Linked DNA regions of Lytechinus pictus. The protein of the gene in region 1 purifies or fractionates together with the protein of each later gene. This does not show direct contact. Links are inferred from orthologs where the notes say so. Each region holds a gene or a part of one and is shown on either strand. Other genes may lie near its edges.

Region 1 (10,778 bases):
TTGGGGATGAAACTATGATGGCGACCAGTCACGTTTGACTGTACCGCCAAATAGTTAAGATTAATTAATTAAGGTCAAGGTGAGATAAGAGAAATGAGCAAGGGGCATTGTGGTGGGGGAGGGGGAGAGGGAGAGAGGGGGGGGGGGGGGTTACGAGGGCCGAGTGGGGATACAGTTTCATCATGCAGTACAGGGCGTCGATGAACACTTTTATTTTTTTCTCCAAAATATGGAAAGTGACAGAATAATCAGAAAAAGGTTGATTGGTTCTGATTTTGAAAAAAAAAACAGAATTTATCAAGATTGCTGTTATTCTTCATGGTTGTAGAATTTAATTTAGTTTCTCTGATAAGTATAATTCTTTCAAACAACTCAAATTTTGATTAATCGTATTTCATTTATTTCACTCTTTTCTTTCGCCTCGTTTTTTTTTCTTCCAAAAAACCAGGGAGCTGAAAAATATGAGAGCTAGAACCTAAAGATATGGGGTAGCTATGACGTTGGAGGGGGCGCAGCCTCATGCACTTGCAGATCCAAATCAATTTTCACAGGGGACACTTAGAGTAGCCCCTATTTCTTTAATATTATTTTTACAAGCAAAAAGAAGTCAATGAAGACATCAGGCCACCGACAGCTGCCTCGTCAAAGGGGGGGGGGGGTCGATTATTTTGAGTATTTTTTTTTTATTTTGTCCTCAATAAGGGGGGGGGGTTCAATTAATTCTATATACACTTCTATTGTCTTTATATATGGGGGGGTCTGCTACTGAGCATGTTTTTAAAAGGGCTTAATAAGGGGCTTAATACAACAGAAATTGTACGATTTAATACAATAAAATGTATCATCGAGGTTAATACTAAATTAATACATAATTAATAATTGTTTTAATTGAAAATGAAAATAATAAAGGCACCCATAGATCTTAACATCTCATAAATACAGGCCTAAACCTGTATTGGAAGTTGAACAGGCATAAAGTATAAATGTTTAGCTATATAGCTGATGCTTTGATCCCGCAACCAAATAATGTTATCATAAACTAGTAGATGTTATATCAGTCATGTCAGTGGCGTAACAAGTGAAAATAATTGAGGGTACTACGATATGGCGTATCAGGCAAAATTTATAAAATATATAGTTGCAAGCAAGCGACATAAGCATAATTTTGACTTTTGGTTACAAAAATCCAATTGAACAATTTCGCAAGATTCTCTTACCTTTTCCTTTTTTTTCTTGTTCGTGAATTGGGGGCATGCAAGACCCCACCCCCCCCCCCCCATACAGCACCACTCTTTGTTGTCACTGTCTAAAATTTGATTTAAACTTTGAGAATTTGAATTTCTTATCTAAGTAATCCAAAGGGATAAGACAAAAATATTTGCAGATTACTTATTTCAAAGTATTTTTATACCTATAACTCCCCAACTCTGCTCTAGCTGCACTGCACGTTGCCTAACGGCCTTCCACCAAAGGGCCAGGCCGACTCGCCCCGTGAGCAAGTGACCGCGTTCGCGTAAGTTCACCCGAAGCCATGACTGAATTCTGACCATAAACATCACCTAACTAATCACTCTCTGACAATATTTCAAAGTATCTTTTATTACAGTCGATCCTTTGGGCCATTAAACGATAATATTTCCAATGTTATCATGACAAACAATTTTAATGAGATAGTGGCATTGTAGAAAAAACAAATTTATAAGCACGAAATGGCACCAGATAAATCATCAAACATACAGCGCAGCGTTCGGGACTGGTGAGTGGTACGGCTCTCTTGGAGTTTTCGCCCCGACGAATTCGGCGAAAACGCTACCATTGCGCCGTGCGAATGTTCAATCTGCGGCTCTCAATCAGAGACTTGAATGTCTCTTTTTGCATTATCGAAAATGTATCATAGACTTTGTTTGATTTGTTTACAAGTAAGTTGCATATCCGTCGTGATAATTAGGAAAATCCATGATGTCTTCTTCTAATTCTGTAAAAATTACCTCTTCAAAGTGCCTGTGTCAGAAAATTGCCGGAAATCGTAAAAACTTGCCTAAAATGTCTCTTTTTGAAAGTTCATCCATGGTCTGGAAAAAAATGTTATAATTTATGTAGACGTATACCGTAAACAAATACATCCTCGATCACTGAAATGAAGTGTTTGCTAAGCTTTTATATCTCAGACCGCGTTACCATGGCAACTTGGGAAAACCTTCATTTTTTACTAATAAAATTCTGGTTTTAAGGGTCATTTTAGAGACATAAAACTAACCATATTTTGAAGTATTGGGTTTAAATTTCAGGAACAACTGCAGAATACCCCGCACGACGAGAGCATGGATGTTTGAATCGACCAACGACCTACGATGTGATGAAAGGATGTTGGAACAAAGCCGAGTTGTGACTAAAATTCGAACTTGTTTACGTCAAGCCAACGATTGATTACGCGATTTTTGCATAGGGCATGCCGCCAACGAGCCAACGATGCCAACGTTGTGAGATTGGCATGCTACCAACGAGCCAACGATGCCAACGTTTTGACTTGCGTTGGCTTGCTACCAACGAGCCAACGATGCCAACGATGTGAGTTTGGCATGCTGTCAACGAGCCAACGTTGTGAGTTTGGCATGCTGCCAACGAGCCAACGATGCCAACGTTGTGAGTTGCATTGGCTTGCTGCCAACAACGTTGGCAGCACGTTGTGAGTTTGGCATGCTACCAACGAGCCAACGATGCCAATGTTGTAAGATTGGCATGCTACCAACGAGCCAACGATGCCAACGTTGTGAGTTTGGCATGCTGCCAACGAGCCAACGATGCCAATGTTGTAAGATTGGCATGCTACCAACGAGCCAACGATGCCAACGTTGTGAGTTTGGCATGCTACCAACGAGCCAACGATGCCAACGTTGTGAGTTTGACATGCTACCAACGAGCCGACGATGCCAACGATGTGAGTTTGGCCTGCTGCCAACGAACCAACGATGCCAACGTTGTAAGTTTGGCATGCTGCCATCGAGCCAACGATGCCAACGATGTGAGTTTGGCATGCTACCAACGAGCCAACGATGCCAACGATGTGAGTTTGGCCTGCTGCCAACGAGCCAACGATGCCACGTTGTGACTTTGGCATGCTACCAACGAGCCAACGATGCCAACGTTGTGACTTTGGCATGCTACCAACGAGCCAACGATGCCAACGTTGTGAATTTGGCATGCTACTAACCCTAACCCTAACCCTAACCCTAACCCTAACCCTATGCACATAGTAGGAACATCGTAGGTCGTTGGCTCGCCAACGGTATGCGCGCGATCGCGAGAGTACAAGCATGCGCGCGTGTATTCGTATGGCTCGGAAGTACAGTACCGGTACGGGTCGTATCGTAAAAACTGACAAGACAACGAATCTTCAGCCCGTTCAGGATCGATCACGTCGAGATTGATTCTGATTCTTCACATCGTAGGTCGTTGGCTCGCCAACGTTGAGGTAATGAAATGTGCGGGGTATTCTGCAGTTAAGCCAATATTCACATAAAACTGAATTATCTATGTTTATACTTTCGTATATGAATATTCATATTTCTTGTAGAATCTTAGTTTTTGATTGGTCAATGTTTCAGTCATGGATAATAACTGAGCGTTAAAAAATCTGAAAATGCGCATTTTATCGGCAACCAACAAGCAAGATGGCGGAACACATTAAGTTGGCGCTATGCACGTACGTGGGCCCAGCGCATAAAGTAAAGAGTTAAGAAAGGCCTAGGCTACATAGTTCCCTAGGCATGGGACTGTAATAAAACAATTTTGGAGAACCAGCTAGATCTAACTTTACAATACATATAATTCATTATACTAACAATATATAACTAACTTTTTTTTTATAGATATCAGAAAAATATTTTGGTTAATAGAGTAAACTTACATTTCGCTGGAGGACTGTCTGAAAAGACTGGCGACAGCCTGATATTAACCTTGCAACATGGGCCATTACGAAGGGTGAAAAGGGTGGATCTAAATGGAAAAACCACGAACACAAATTAATTTTAAAATGATGGCGCTATTGCTATTGCTCGAGCTGTCTTTTTCACTGCACTTTCTTGAGCCGGGGCCTTGAGCTAGCTAGGAGGAGGTGTTTTTTTATAGTTTTTTTTAGGGGGTGGGGGTGGTAACTCTCGTATACGAAGCCAGGCTAGAGGACACAGGGACATGTCCCCCATGTTGATAGGCAGATAAAAACAACAATGAAAAAAATATAATAACCGGGTCGGATAAAAATAAAAAAGAGAAGAAGATAATAAGATATAAATATAATGATCCATAATTATGTTGACTGGCCACTATCCACAACTTAGATATTGATGTGTGTTCGAATTTAGGAGATACTTTCTGTCATGCGTGTTATATATATTTTTTTATTGACAAAAAAAAATACGATTGGTTTTGGTTTATTGCTTGCTTGCTTGCTTGATTGGTTTGATTGATTGATTGATTGATTGATTGATTTAATTTGCCAACGGCCATGGTCTGTGAAAAAAAATGATAATGGAAGTAAGCTGAGGAATAATTCACGATAGCTCTGAACTTTTTACAATCATCATAATCATTTTTGTGCTCCCTCTTTATCATCATAGGCATACTTTTTGTCAAATGATTCATCCTAAAATGATGATGTTCAACTAATGGGGGATGATAACATAGGACAACTCACCCGTGACATAAGTTGGGGGATATATCCCCCCCCCCGCGATCTACATCCATGCCCCGAAGCTTATTTCGAGAAGGGCCCTCGACATGTAAGAAAAAATCCATAACAAGGCACTCTGAAGGAATACAAAGTCAATAATACAGGCGTGAAGCGTATAGCTGACATTAAATTTATATATAGGATTGACCTGAAAACTGAACATTTATTGTTAAGCGCTTTTTGATATTGTGAATACAATGCATATGCCACCAAAATGAATAGGCCGACCTAAAGTGACTATTTATATCCTTGAACAGAGTACTTATCCCACTATAGACAAAAATTACCAACGCGAAGAGCGAGCTGTTTCTTTTAACCAACATTCAGACCTATGAACTGCACTATTTATAGGACAAGTCCACCCAAGAAAAATATTAATGTTGATTTGAATCAATAGAACAAAATCTAACAACCATAATGTTGAAAAGTTCATCAAAACCGGATGTGAAAAAAGTTATATGACATTTTAAAGTTTTGCTCATTTTTCACATAATAGTTATATGCACAACTTAGTGACGTGCAAATGAGAGATATGATGATGCCCCTCACTCACTGTTGTTTTTGTTTGAATTATACTATAATTCATTTTTTTGTGTACAAATTTGACAATAAGGCCAACTTGATTGAACCATAATGTTGCCCACGTTTCAGTACAATTCTTCACAAACCAGCTTCCTTTATTCATGGCTCAAACATGTCAAGTTGCCAAGAAACTGAAGAAAGGTTCCAAAACAATATAATTCCACATATTCTGGGGAAAATATGCTCACATTACCATGCTGGATAACATTAAAGAACATTTCATATTTCACAATAAAATAAGGAAATAGTGAGTGCTATAGGTGACGTCATCAATCCCCTCGTTTTGACAGACGAAATTACGCGAAACTTAAAAATTTCATAACTTTCTTATTTTACCTCCGATTTTGATGAAACTTTCAGTGTTAAGCTTGTTGGATTTTTCTCTATTTATTTAAATCAACTTTTTATTGGGGTTGACTTGTTGTTTTGTAATTGTAACACTTGAAATATTATAGTAGCGTGGTGATTGTTCAGTGTTACAAGAATGATGAGACAAATCAATAGTCTGCCACACAATGATTACCATGATTACAGTTCATTAGTATTTTATATTCCAAAGATGATAAATACCAATCATAAGATGTATATACCATAGGAAATATAGCTGGTTATAAAAAGGCTGTTATAATATTAGGTACTCCCCCAACAAAGGCCATATGGTAACCCCTAAAGAGGGATGGCGAGGGAGACCAAGCACGCATGCAGTGTCCTCTCGTCAAGAGACGGAGAAGAGAAGTCCTCTTTTAATTATTTTGGGGGTACATCTCTTAGTTTTGCACCATTAGGGGGGAGGAGTTAAACAATGTATAAACTAATCAGGAAAGAAGGATGGAGCATAACAAAAATGAAAGGGTATTTGCACCTGAAGTCAGGGAGCAATTATCTGGGAAGGAGGTTGGATGGAGGATAAAGTATATTCTCATTATGGTATCTTAGGAGGAATTATAAACACAATGCGGGACATAATGCAAGGATAAGGCCACCACATCAATCTGTGCAAACAGGTGATGGGTGTGTGGTCATTAATTTTGCTCTAAACAAAAGGAGTTGTGTCAATGGACAAAAGAGCATTGAACTTACTTTCGACCAATTTACTATCTGGAGTTTGTGAGTTTACACAAACGTCCAAGCATGTTTAAAAGTATAATCAGTTTTACAAAAATATGGAATGCAGGGTGTTATAATAATCATGAACATGATTTGTAACTGAATGAACCTTACTATAGCTCGATCGAAAATAATCACTGCTTCACCATGTTATCCTCATGAATGCGAATGCATTGGCAAGATTGCTATATATGCTAATTTGCTTCCTCTTCAGATTTTCTTCCTCTTCTTCAATTTCCTTTTTTTTTCTGTTCCCCCCTCCCCCCCCCCCCCCCGTCTCCCCTCGTTTTGTGCAGCCTGTAATAGCGGACCGCTATATATACAGCGTCTCCCTGATCAGCCGAGATGTCTTATAATTCCAATCCCTTAAAGGACAGGTCCATCCAAACAAAAAGTTGATTTGAATAAAAAGAGAAAATGCCAACAAACATAACACTGAAAATTTCATCAAAATCGGATGTAAAATAAGAAAGTTATGACATTTTAAAGTTTCGCTTAAATTCACAAAATAGTTATATGCACATCCCGGTTGGTATGCAAATGAGGAGACTGATGACATCATCCACTCACTATTTCTTTTGTATTTTATTATATGAAATATGAAATATTATAATTTTCTCTTCATTGTCAAGTGAAAAAAAAAACAATAATTCCTCCCTGAACAGGGACCTGGGAAGCGGGGGTGTATGGGGGTGCTGCGTGTATTATTTTCCATAGGCAGCACCCCCACGAAATCGGGTTCCCCCCTGTATTTTTTAAAATATGTTATAATGTACATAATTATCACTTCCGACAATCGCAAATCATTTACATAGTCTTTCACATATTCCAATAACATCCCTCCTATAACGCGACTCAATCAAGCTCCAGCGGGGCAGCACTCCAAAACAGACGGAGTCGCGCGCAATACGTGATAACCATACACACTCTTCGATATCAGGGAAGGACATGGGGGTGGTTGGACTCGAATCAAGTGAGCCCGCGCCCGACCGCCCGTGTATTGTATACAAAAATTAAAAGTCAGATAATATAAATCAAATTTCAGTCTTTTTCGCCCTGCCCCATGGCCCTGGGGGCTGGGAAGCGGGGGTGCTGGGGGTGAAGCAACTCCAAAATTTTAGGGTGCTGCGTGTGTTATTTTCCATAGACAGCGCACCTCCTGGAAATCTAGTGGTAGGTATGATAAATGACAGAAATGTAATGAAAATGAACGACGTTTTGTAGAACCCCCCCCCCCCCCCACTTCAGAATTTTCCGACACATTACTTGAAATAGTGTTTAAATTCACCCTCTTTCAGATCGGAATATCTAATATTTTCTGCTCGCGCTTCGCGCTCGCATTATTGATTTTTATAATAAAAAAAGTGTATTTAGAATGCCCAGATACTAGGTCGAACTCTAAACACGCGCAGGCATGTTTATTCAGATACGCAGCTTGATTGGGGGGGGGGGGTACTCCGGGCTGAAAATATTTATATCAAATACATTTTATCAAAAATGAATAAATTTTATCAAAATCTGATAACCATTAGTTAAATTATTTAATTCTAAAGTTTAGCAATATTTTATGAAAATGGTGATATGCATGTCGTCATAAATATTTCATAGGTGGGCTGATGCTGTGACATTCCCAATATCCTGTTTCTTGTGAAATCAAAATTGTTTCATTTTTTTCATACCAGAGTGAATGATATGTCTCCCTTATAATGAAATAAGTTGCAGCAAATAATATCTTATGGACTAAATCAGTTGTCAATTCAACTGTTTTAGTTCTTGAAAGAAAAATATTGAATAAACCTAATTTTATATAATAAAATACAAAAGAACAAGTGGGGATATGACATCACCAGTTTGCTCATTGAATATTAATGAAGACATGCCTAAAACTGTTTCACTGGAATAATGCTAATCTTTAAAATGCAATAACTGTGATATTCCTTGTCTGATTTTGATCAAATCTTTATTCTTATGTTCGTCTGAGTTTTCTTTATCTGTTCAAACCATTTTACATTCAGTGTGGAGTTTCAGATCAGAATATCAAAAAAATTTCTGCTCGCGCTTCGCGCTCACATTATTAATTTAAGAATATATCCAATTACCCATCATTTTCTAGATTTACAAAACATGAATAGAATGTCCCGTTTTCAGGTCTGAAATCTCAATTTTGTTTCCGCGCGCGCTTTGCGCTCGCATCAATTGTATAGTTATATACCTATCCTGTTCATGATTAGAAAAGTGCATTAGATGTCTCGTTTTTAGGTTTGAAATCTCATTTTTATTTCCGCTCGCGCTTCGCGCTCGCATCAATTGTATAGTTTTATAGCTATCCTCATTATGATTAGAAAAGTGCTTAGAATCTCTCGTTTTTCTGGTCTGAAATCTCAATTTTGTTTCCGCTCGCGCTTCGCGCTCGCATCAATTGTATAGTTATATACTTATCTTGTTCATATTTACAAAACGTGCTTAGAATGTCCAGTATTTAGGTCGGAATGTCAAATTTTAAGCTCGCGCTTCGCGCTCGCATTATTTGATTGTTGATATATGTATCATCTTCATGGGTAACTGCAAAACAGTCCTTATAACACGTCCCTTTCGATCAGGCCATGCAGAGCGTATATAAAAAATATCTGCTCGCGCTGATCGCGCTCACAATAATTATTTGTTACATACGCATCTTGGACCACAAACATTGCTCAAAATGTTCAATTTTCAGGACAAAATACATGAAATTTCCACAAAAAATAGCTCGCGCTTCGCGCTCAAATTATCTAATTATATATTTATGTTCTTTTATAAGAAGAAAGCTAAGAAGTGACTGTCATATGTATATTTATATATATATATATATGTGTGTGTGTGTGTGTGTGAGGGTGTGTGTGTGTGTGTAATTATGGAAAACTCAATTGTGTCTGTCCCCCCCTCACCTTTGAGGAGAGATTTCAGCACCCCCACTGAAAAAATCGTTCCCAGGTCCCTGTCCTTGAACATATGGAATTAGCATTGTTTAATACAATATGGTTCAGTCAAGTTGGTCCATATTGTCAAATTTGTAAAAAATGAAATATTGTATAATTCAAACAATAAAAAAACAAAAGAAATAGTGAGTGAGGGACATCATCGACTGTCTCATTTGCATGTCACTGAGTTGGGCATATCACTGTTTTTTGAAAAATAAGCGAAAATTTAAAATGTCATAACTTTCTTATTTTACATCCGATTTTGATGAAATTTTCAGCGTTATGCTAGTTTGATTTTTCTCTATTTATTCAAATCAACTGTGATTGATTGGTGGAATTTTTTTTTACCTGATTGCTAAGAAAGCATGAATGCTTGTAAGCAAGCAACCAGAGGACCGACGGCTTAAGGTCCCCTCCGAAGGACCTGGTACTGAGGATTAATGCCTTACCAAAGGGCACTAGCGCACCAAGTGGGAATCGAACCCGGGTCACCGGAATACGAGTCCCCCGCTCTACCGACTGAGCTATCGCGCCTTTTCCTGTGGTGGACTTGACCTTTAAGATCATTTTCTTTTTATTTAAGCGTTGGAGGAGGCAAGGGCTCAAGTTAAAGCTCCCAGAATTCTAATTTTGCAAGAAAAAAATAGCACTGTTATTTCTTCTCTGCCACGCTTTTTCCTTAATTTGCATTTATTGATTTTCTTCCTCTCATTCCTTTCTTTCTCTCTTTATTCCCCGCTTTATTCCCGTTCTCTTTAAAAAAAATAACATTCTCCATTTTATTTGTTTTCCCCTCCATTCCTTTATACTAAATGGCCGAGGGGAGCTCGGATGAGAGGACCGCCCCAGCATCTAATACGCCATGGAAAAGTTTCGGCCAATCAGACCACAAGTTGGGAAACGCAACACCCCGACCCATGCACCCTCATGGACCAAAATATTCTGATGTCACCCCTGATAACAAATAATGTTTCACGCAGATTGCTGTTACGTTATTTAGCATTTTGATTTTTAAACAGTTTTGTCAAACCCTCCAATTTGTCCTCTTATTGACATTCATGTCATTATTCCGCATCATGGCAAAGCATCCGCATAGACCATGTTGGAGGAAAATTGATTGAGCTCAAATGAAATACGAACTCATCAAGAGAGACAATGTTTTATGCCTCTTGGCTTCTTTTAAATTTCACTGATAAAAATTACGCAATTCTAGTGTTTTGTTGATTCAGAAATGAAATTTACTGGAAAGGAAGGACCATGTTCTTTTCTCTACATTGCCAGTTATTTTGTACAATGATTAAACATTATTTTTTGATCGATATGTCTTTCTTCTATTTCTTTTTATTATTTTTTCTCTTCTTCCCTTTTTCTTCTTCTTCTTCCTCCTTTCTCATCATCCATCC
Region 2 (10,062 bases), on another chromosome or scaffold:
CGAAAATTATTTGCGACCATTGCATAAAATATAAAAAATGATGACAACACAAAATTCAACCCTCATGGTGAATAAAAAACATTGTGCATATACTTACAAGAAGAGGGAGAAAATTAAATACGAATGGATATGACTCTGAACAGAGAGCGGTCAAATTTTAAAACTTTGAATCATTATTGTCATCCTTAATGATTCTAAAACTCCTTTCGTGCAGGCAGGTTAAGAGCCGACATTGTAGAACATTCTTAGCCAAATTGCCTCAGTTTGATAATGACCCATCATTCGAGTTTTCTGTTGACCATTCCGCTGGTCGGTAATGTTATGCTGCAGAAAGATAGAAGCTCTTCGATGATTAGCTGCTCATACACGTACAGCCCAATCACACGGTGAATGGCGTTACACCGTTGCTGATTGGATAATTCTTGATAGTGCAGGAAATGTGGTTGGTGGTGTTTTGATTGCAATAGCCCGAAACACTACGACTAGACCCTGTGACCACTGATCTCTCTCCACTAACATCAGTGCCTGTGACGCATTGAAAACGAAGGTAAAGTAAAAGGACATTCCCCGTTTTTAAAGACAATCCAGATATAGATGATTGTAAACACTAATTTGGTTGGCGTAAACTTGTCGTAGACCTATTCTTCTTTCATTTACAGTAATTAAATCACTTTCTCTTTATTCTTACTTCTCTCTTTTATGACTTTATCTCAATTCATTATTTAGAAAACATCATTTTTGAAAAATTACAAAAATCACTTTTTTATTTCCATTCTGATCATATCAACCAGGTTTTTTTTTTTAATGATCTTTAAGGCGCTTAGATTTCTAAAAGTTTTGTCAAGGTAACGAAATCGCCTATATAGTCCCATACGCCCGGTACACACTACACGATCCAAAACGACTCTTTTTTTATTTACAAGTCGCATTTTCGCATTAATATGAAATTTCATGAAGAAAAACTATATTATATTTCGCAATTAGGTGCAATCAAAGGAATGATTAAATCGGAATTCTACTTGGTTGCAAACATTGTGGTCGGAGTAAAGTCTAGTTCAGCTTCAACTCGCATCCGATGATGACGTCAAGTTAATACGACTTGCAATTGAACTTTAATTCTACACAGAGGCTCGAAATATAGGCTTGATTTTCGATTCAATTATTCATCCCAATATTTTGGATTTGATCGTTTTAATAGGTGGAATTTTCATTTAAAATGCTTTTACAATTTATTTGAAATTAGGTCGCAATTAATGAATGGTACTATGTACTGGGCTCTACATTTGAGCACTGACATAGTGATTTGTGATTGGGGGCTACTGCTCAATATTTTCCTAAGATCATTTTCGGGTATACTCAAATATTATAATTTGCATTTACAGGTCCAATCCCCATATAAATCGTTGGATGCCTTAATACTTTTAAAGGAACCTTTTGAGGGAAATATATACAAGATGGCCTTCCTAAATACATAAGGTGATAATACACGCACTGGCGGATCCAGGGGGGGGCAATTAAGAATTAAAATGTAAAAATGCCATTAAAACAGAGGTGTGCCCCCTCTTTTGAAATTGAAGACCTTTTTTTGCTTGTAAATTTTTTTTTCGGGTGCTAAATATTCTCAAAATTTTCCTCCGAAAAATTTGCCCCCCCCCCTTGAAAAATCCTGGATCCGCCCCTGGGTTCACGTAATCGGTATTTGAACTTGATGAAGGTACTAATTATAAACAAATAGAAATATCTAACTTGAACATAATTATCATCGTTTTTGTATCTGAATCATTGTCACATCCTAATCGTGTTTACTCAACCGTACTAGGATCGGTCACGTAGTCTTACGTTGCAATTAATTAAGGGAACAAATTAATGACTCGTTTGTTTCTAAAATTAATCACGTCTTCTTTTTCTTTGGAAATATCAGTGCACTTGTAACTTTACTGACCAACCAAACCGGAAGGAATAGATTTAGTCACATCCGACAAGTTGAATATCGTCCGGGAGAAGACACGCAAACTGTATAGCCTATACCACTATACCAGGGACGGGACGGTACCCACTAGCGTACCTACGGGGGGGGGGGCAGAGGGGGCAGACTGCCCCCCTGACGAGTCAAAACCCATGCAAGGGACGTATCCCTGCCCCCCCCCCCCTGACGAGTCAAAACTGATCCCTGGCCCGCTCCTTTGAACTCGAAGACCCTTTTTTTTTTTTTTTTTTTTGCTTGTCAATTTTTTTGCTGGTACGAAATCCCTTTATTTGTGGTTGAAGACCTTTTTTTTTTTGCTTGTCAAATTTTTTGGCGGACGAATTTGCCCCCCCCCCTGTGGAAAATCCTAGGTACGCCACTGACGGTACCATATAGGGGCAGGCGTTCAACCCCCCCCCCCCCCCGATTAAAAAAAGGAATTAAAATAAATAACAGAAGAGAAAATATGTGACCAACTTATATGTTGAACATAATCATTTAACAGTCGGACAAAAAAAAAACCTTAACCAATAGGGATTAGACAAGTTTTTTGGGCTTAACGCTCAAACTTTTGGTCGAAACTGTGACCAACTAAAATTATTCATCTATGGTCAAAATTGCCCAATGAATGTGTTATTTATAACTAAAAGTTTGCCGAACAAAACAAGAGACACGAAACTTTTCTGCAGCATAAAGTAGACATAATTATATATAACAAAAAAATCCATAAATTTTAATCCGAAAAAGAAATAAAGTTACATTTATGTCAACCTTGTTCCCCATATCAAAATACACAGGCGTTGCCAATGCACATAACAAGTCAACAGTCTCAGTCACAAAGTTCTAATGTAAATTCATCAAGGATTGGTTGGAGACACATACACTAGTACATGAGTAGGCTACCCTATAATATTTATCAATTACACTTTATGCATGGTTTCATTAAAGTAAATAAATGAATGAATGAATGATTATAGATGAATGAAATGAGTATTGTTTTCAGTCAATAATGATTGAAGAAATGAATAACAAGTACAGTTAAGGGATAGACCTTCATGACCGTACACCAAGTTTTTTAGTGGGGGGGGGGGGCATGACGCATATTTAAAAAAAAACTCGAAAGCGAGGGAGTGAAGTCTTGTCATGGAGGCGCTTGTCATTTTTTTTTATAATACCTAAGGTTTGCGAGCACACTTTGACAAATTTTGTGAAAATTTTCAGTAAAAGTGTAACACTTAATTGTCCACCCCCATCACCGCCCCCTGCGCGCTGGGTTCGGCCATCATAAATATGTACGAAAGATTGTGTAAATGGTATAGTAGGCCTACTAAATGAATTAAGAGATCAATTAATGATCTATTATTGTTCTAAATCAATTCAATCAAAATCACTGATTAACAGACATGACATTGTTATCGATGAGGAAATAGTTGGAGAGCATTTAAAATAATGAACGACATGAAGTGCGTAGAATCAAAAAGATATTGTTGAAGTAAAATATTCATTCACATGAATCATCTGATTCTGATCACTTTAGAACATTATATTTACTTTAGAAAATTATTTTATCTCCAAAAATTCCATAGATTTCTTTAACAGATACTATTCAATACGAAGCAGTGGGCCCTATTCTACACAAGTTTCCCGAGATTTCTTAAACAAATACTATTATGAAGCAGTATACATCATGAATTGGTGCTATCATGGGAAGACGTCAATTTTTTATTTTTCAAACACGAAAATTTTCAGTTATAAATTTTACTTTACTTTCGAGTTCCTTTTGTAAGGATAGGCTTTGCATTAGATATTTTTTATTCATTTCAATTTTGATAGTTCATGGAGAATGAATGGTGTATTTTTTCATAGAAGCAAACCACGCGGGGTACTTGTGTCACACAAATCACTTTTTCATGAAAACAAAATACTAAAGGTCATTGACTTTTATATATATATAACATTGGTATATTCATGTATCATTTATCTAAAGACGAATTACCAGAAAATTTTTCACAAATGTTAAAAAAAATCAATCATATCACACATATCCTACGCGTCAGAGTATACCATCTTACTCTAACTCGAACAATTTTTACACAAAAACACAATAATATTCACAAGACCAAAATACATACCGTACTCTTCCGCCAGATATAACAGGATGCACATTTATTTTAAAAACAACTTATTATTTCTTGAACCTGCTTTTTCTTCATTGTCTTGATCTCCATGATTAGTAAGTCATATACCTCGTATTTTTTTCTGTTGTCTTTTGTTTTGTATTTGTTTTGTCTTTTTTGGGCTCTTTCTCTGGTTACAACTGTATTTCTCTTGCTGTATACCAGCTGAGCAATATGCACATTGTGATGTGACAGTAATAATTATATCAGATATGATTTTACTAATTTATGTACATACATGTAGGGCCTATATACGGGTGTACGTACTTGCCATGTCATGGAAAGATATATCTATTCACCGTATGTTGATAATTTGTAATGCCTTGACCACTTCAATTTCATATCTTTAAATATTTTTCTTTCATTTGTTCTGTATTTAATTGAAAATTCCAATCTGCATATTTAAGGTCATGAAATAATTATCCGTCTTCCACTATTAATTACAACTTATCTCACCGGGGCCTGCAATTTTTTACAAGCCTTGCTTTCATGTATGTCCGATCATATTTCTTTGACTTACGGGCCTAAGCTTCTATATACCTTAACTGGACTGATTGCATCATTATACTATGCTATTGTATGTCTTCTCAGTTGTTTATAATTTAATAGTTTTGCATTATTGTTGCTACTTTTTATGTGAATCAGATGTAAAGGAGAAATATGAAAATGAAATTAATAAACGAAATGAAAAGAATGAAAAGAAATAGTCAAATATTTAATTGCACGAGGAGTCTTATTATAAATGATCTCAGTGGTGGACAATAATGCGATCTTTTTTTAAAGAAAAAAAAGTATAATTTAATATGGAAATACGTGTGTAAATCTTTTTCACGTGTGGAATTAGCAGCTATACGCGTTATCGAGTGGAGATCGTGCAGCTCACATTTTAATGACACTTTTAGTGATCTCTCCAAATCATATTATTTTCATCCCGGAGCTAGACCTATCATGCCTATACTCCTTTAAGGGTATGATTTCAGATTTAGAGACAACATCGGCCCTGCACCTTTTGAGTGCCCCCGAGGGTTAAACAAGAGGTGATCTAGAACTATAATAGCATATAGACCTATATGGATGATCAGAAAAAGGATGGATGATGGTGATCAGAACCGGATCAGAATTCAAACCACTATATAGGGCTTTGAAACTTATCTCATATCCAAATAAAGAGGAATATGAATTATTTGCAAAGTAGGAATTTTTCATCCAAAGATGTTTGCCACTATTTTCTTTCTGGGCCGATATAGCATTATTAAGTAAAAAACAGGAGCTTCACCACTCTCAAAAAATAACTTGAGTGGCCAGGGGGCGAGGGGTCTCTCGTCCTCCCCCCCCCCCCCCCCCCCCCTTGCGACGTCGACCCTGGATATACGGTACCGGATCGCGATTCAGAGCTAGCTAGCTATATATATAGCTCTGTTGTATGCGCACATATGTATGGCTATGCATGGTCAGTAACATGGCAGCTTCATGGATAAACTCTTGTCGTCTGGCTCTGTCACGTGCAAATAGTATTATGAGATTAAAGAGAGGAATATCTTCAAGAAACTTCATCTCCAGCTCACCATGCACATACTCTAGGAGACAAAACATGAAATCAGTCTTGTCGAATTGGTCATGCACTAAAAAATCGTATGATGGACAACGAAGCAGGATGATCATCGTCACAGAGCGTTTGTATTGCTCTTCTGCGAAACGCTGTTGGAACTGCAACGACGAACTCTCCCGGTCTGAGACGTCCAGTGGAGGACCTCGCGTCGCTGCTCTGTTCTGTGCCTCGTGCAGTATGATCCAGCCGCTGGAGGACGGATTGAACCACTTTCAGATCATGGGAATGTAATGCTTCTTTTGCTTCAGAAAACATTTTAATAAGATGTTCAGTTTAAATAAGAGAATGATCAGGTGCTAAATTGATGGGAAGAGATTGATATTCAGATATCGGGCATATTATCATGATTATTTGAGATGAAGAAGGCTTGAACTGGGATCGAAATATTAATGCCACAAATGGCACAGGAGATGCCCCGGAGGGGGGGGGGGGGGTGCTCGACCAAAAAATTGGTAGGTATGTGCCACAGCGAGACAAAAAACGGGCTTTGGAGCCTCGCATGCGATGTTTTGAAATCGGCAGCAAATAATTATACGTGTGAGGACCTTCAATTCATGTTGGCTCTAAATCACGAATTTTGAGACTGATAGAAGCATGGCAAAGCCAAAGAAGTGAAACTTTGTGTATAGTAAGAATATTAGTTTTAATTGTTTTTAAAGATCGTGATGTTGCATGAATTTTATATTTCCCCCCATAAAATCCCACCTTTGTCACTCGGAATATCAGATAGAGTTCACGGTATCGATGTTCGGGCAGGTGGAGTGTAGTGTAGCGGTAGTCAGGTAGTGAAGTGGAGTGGTGCCTGCACGAACATCGCCCTATACGGGCATAAGTGCATGCAGCTAACCCGCTGGCATGGGATATGGGCGCCAGGTGCGCTTGCGCAGAGGCGATGGTCGGACAGCTCTGTGCGGCTGCTTTTCACCAAAATTGCAACTCATTGTCGCAGATCAATGTGGCCGAACAGCATAACGAAAAATATGCAAAGCTTTGGAACGAATTTCTTCTTTTTTCTCGATAAGAAGAAAGTGATATGCTTTGGAGCGGCTTTCTTTGTTCCTTTCCTCAATGTAAAAATGGGGGTCCTCTCTGTGGCACGTACCCGCCACGCATTATATACTGAGTGAGTGCCTTTCTTTTTTTGCTTCCCCGTTAGTCTGGATTTAGAGAGCTTCACACTTTATCCCAAAGAGGAAAGTCTACAGGAAGAAGAATCCTTTAAGTTTTCTTCTCGTTATATGTAAAATTGTTTTTTTTTTTTAAGTTTGAAATTTTGAATGAATGTTAATTGTTGCACTGAATTCATTTGGTACTTGTTTAGGGAGGAGAAGTTTGATGTTGAAGTTCAAGACCTGACCAACTGCTTTAGAAACCTTCAGAGGTTGCTTCACCCAGACAAATTCAGCAATAAATCAGAGGTAAAAAAGAAAAGCCATTCAGTGTTCTCTATAAAACCATTGTATTTGGGTATTGTTTTTGTGGTAATTTTTATATGGGGGGGGGGGGGGGCTCCAAGAGCAAAAGTGAATTTATGTAGGCCTATACAATAATATAGCAATGCACCTTGCTCACTGAAAAAATGAAAGTCACTTGAAGTTAAGTGCTCTGATGTTAAATTCATGTAAAGGTGGTGATTTCAAATACATTCAAATGGGATTGTGAGATGCATTATTTTGGTTGTCAGGGCAAAGTCGGTTGAGTTCAGGATTATATGTCATCATCAGACTTGGGCAAAATGGTCTCTTTGCCATGGAATATCCCATTGCATCTGGATACTGATTGGGTATTGTTTCAATGGAAGTTGACAGCGGATGGTAAAGATGCCATGACAGTAGTAACTTAAATTTGACAGGACCCAGCACTTTGTAGAAAGTGCATGCACACTGAATACATTCCAGCAATCTGTGCCCAAAATTATTTCAAATCATGCATAGATAGAGTGCATAATAACTGTTCAGGTAATATTATTTCTTACTACACATAATTAATGATTTGTGTAGAATCTCCTTCAAATACACAAACAATTTCATGTTCACTTTTCCAAGAACTTACCGTGTTGAGACTCCTTAAAACTGTAATTCAATTTGCAGAGACTTTGGAGAAGCAGGGTCAAGAACTTATCCTTTCATTTATTCTCACACAGACAGAACAGAACTACTCCGCTGCCCAGTCATCGGCTGTGAATCGAGCTTACAAGGTGCTTCTCAAACCACTTTCTAGAGGCCTCTACTTGGTAATTAACTAAATTAAGTGTTTTCTTTTTCTATGATACAAAGGGTGTTAATTGCAATATCATGAAGTTGTGTTTGTTTTACTGATAGAAAATGAACATGTTGGTCAAACGTTCATGATAAAGTCTTTGGGTGGTATTTATAAGCTAATCCGGGTTAAGTCCATGATAAGCCTAGGTCCGCTCTTCTTTGAAATGCTAGGTTTCATATTTATTCAATATTTCTTAAGATTAATAGCCTTGTAAACATTTACTGGAGTTCATTTAATATTTATAATTTCCTTGTTTAATTGCATAATCATTTTAACGCACAAGAGTGAAAAGGTTTTGAACAGGTTTGGCTCTCCACTCTTTCAGCAACACAGAGAGCAACATGCTTGTTCTATACCTGCTCATTGATATGTCAGTCATGCTCAAATTCAGAGAACAAGTTGGCTTCAATTCTTTTTAATCACTTGCCCCATGTCTTTGGAATAAGTTCCAATTTGATGCAACATTACCTTGATCTATTGAAAATGTTTTGAAACAGTCATATATGATAAATCTTAAGTCACTTAACATTGTAAGCAGCAGTTTGTGTCCTTTGGAAAAGGTGCTAGATAAATCCAGTTTATTATGTTTCTTTGATACACAGCTTGAGCTCAGAGGGTTTTCAATAGAAGAAGGAGAGAGTAATATAGAACCGTTATTCCTCATGGAGGTGATGGAAATCAATGAAGAGCTAGCCGATACTGATGATCTTGAAACTGTCAAACGAATAGGAAAAGAAAATACAGGTAAGTTTAATCATAAGGAGTGGGACTCTGTAGAAAAGAGCACTTTGTAAATATTTGGTTGATTTCGTTCTGCTTGAAATGAGTGTGTATAATGGTTATTTAGTGCATGTTAAAGTGTTTTAAAAAGGTGAAATTTAGACTGCACTAAAATGAGCAATGCACAAAGGCACAGCAAAGTTTGCTTGTCAATGTATTAATGTGAGAATTGTTTTATTTTAGCACCAACTTTTATTAGCAATCGTCCATCTGATTGGAGGAATTGGTGCCAACATACCCAGACAAGTTGTATAAAAGTATGATTTCCAATTCAGGAATCACTTTTCACGTACATACTTATATTTGCCTCTTCTTTTTCAGTGAGTTTGAACGACCATCTGGATAAACTCAGAGTGGCTTTTGATGAAGGTGAGATTAATAAATGTAATGCATATGAAAAGATTTCGTTATATTGATATTGTTTCATTTGATCATGATTTCATTAATTCATTCTTTTCATGGAATATTCTATATCACCCATAAGTGGACTTTAGACAAGCAGAAATGGGTATACTATGCTTCCATAATACATCCGACGATGATGGTGTCAGCATCTTAACCGAAGTAAAAAAATTTGAAATTTCATCATAATTTAAAAATTTTAAGGGCCTATTTCATGGAACTTGGACATATAATCAGGTATCACTGATCATTTGGCAGGAGTTTCAGGTCACATGATTAAGGTAAATATCAGGGCTACCCAAGGTTAAGAATGAATACTTATTTTCAAGATTATTATGAATATATGAACTTAAATATAATGGTTATAAACAAGCTTTTTATTAACCGGGCGCCAGGCGCAATTTTGCTCCCGGTTCAAAGGGTTTTGCGCCTGGCTCCTTCGAAAACTAGTATGCCCGGGCGCCAGAAAAAAATCACAAATGGGAGCCGTTACACTACGGCGAAAATGCCCAGTTGACCCCGCCGTATACATGCACTGTGCTGCACACCCCAGCTACAAAGTTTGGTTCTGTAACTTTGCCCAAAGGACTGTAAAATTTCACATTTTACACCAATGAAATCTCTTATTATGCCCATGTTTCCTAAAAAATGGTGCAACTCTTTCATTTGTAAGTAATCAAAAAAGAAATTATTACTCCTTTCTTGGCCCCAAACGATCGGGTTTCGGGTGACATCGTCCGCATCAACACACACTAAAACACATGTGGAGCTGATTAAGTTGGTTTCTTACGAAACTCGATCTAGGTATCAGTTTGAGCCAAAATGAAACATGTTTTTTTTTTCTTTTCTTTCTTTCCTTCCATCTT

What was found.
Region 2: the proteins of succinate--CoA ligase [GDP-forming] subunit beta, mitochondrial-like (region 1) and iron-sulfur cluster co-chaperone protein HscB-like purify together in Homo sapiens (affinity purification with mass spectrometry; 3 studies listed by BioGRID and IntAct, with this or other methods). This does not show direct contact. The link is inferred for Lytechinus pictus from reciprocal best matches to the Homo sapiens genes SUCLG2 and HSCB.

What each region holds. Positions count from the first base shown.
Region 1 is NC_087247.1:36,257,271-36,268,048, reverse strand, and holds the start of succinate--CoA ligase [GDP-forming] subunit beta, mitochondrial-like, read right to left. Parts: upstream 4,036-10,778; 5' UTR 3,974-4,035; coding exon 3,908-3,973; intron 1-3,907. UniProt on the Homo sapiens protein: GTP-specific succinyl-CoA synthetase functions in the citric acid cycle (TCA), coupling the hydrolysis of succinyl-CoA to the synthesis of GTP and thus represents the only step of substrate-level phosphorylation in the TCA.
Region 2 is NC_087246.1:19,727,208-19,737,269, forward strand, and holds the start of iron-sulfur cluster co-chaperone protein HscB-like, read left to right. Parts: upstream 1-5,579; 5' UTR 5,580-5,590; coding exon 5,591-5,979; intron 5,980-7,073; coding exon 7,074-7,170; intron 7,171-7,895; coding exon 7,896-7,985; intron 7,986-8,616; coding exon 8,617-8,758; intron 8,759-9,115; coding exon 9,116-9,163; intron 9,164-10,062.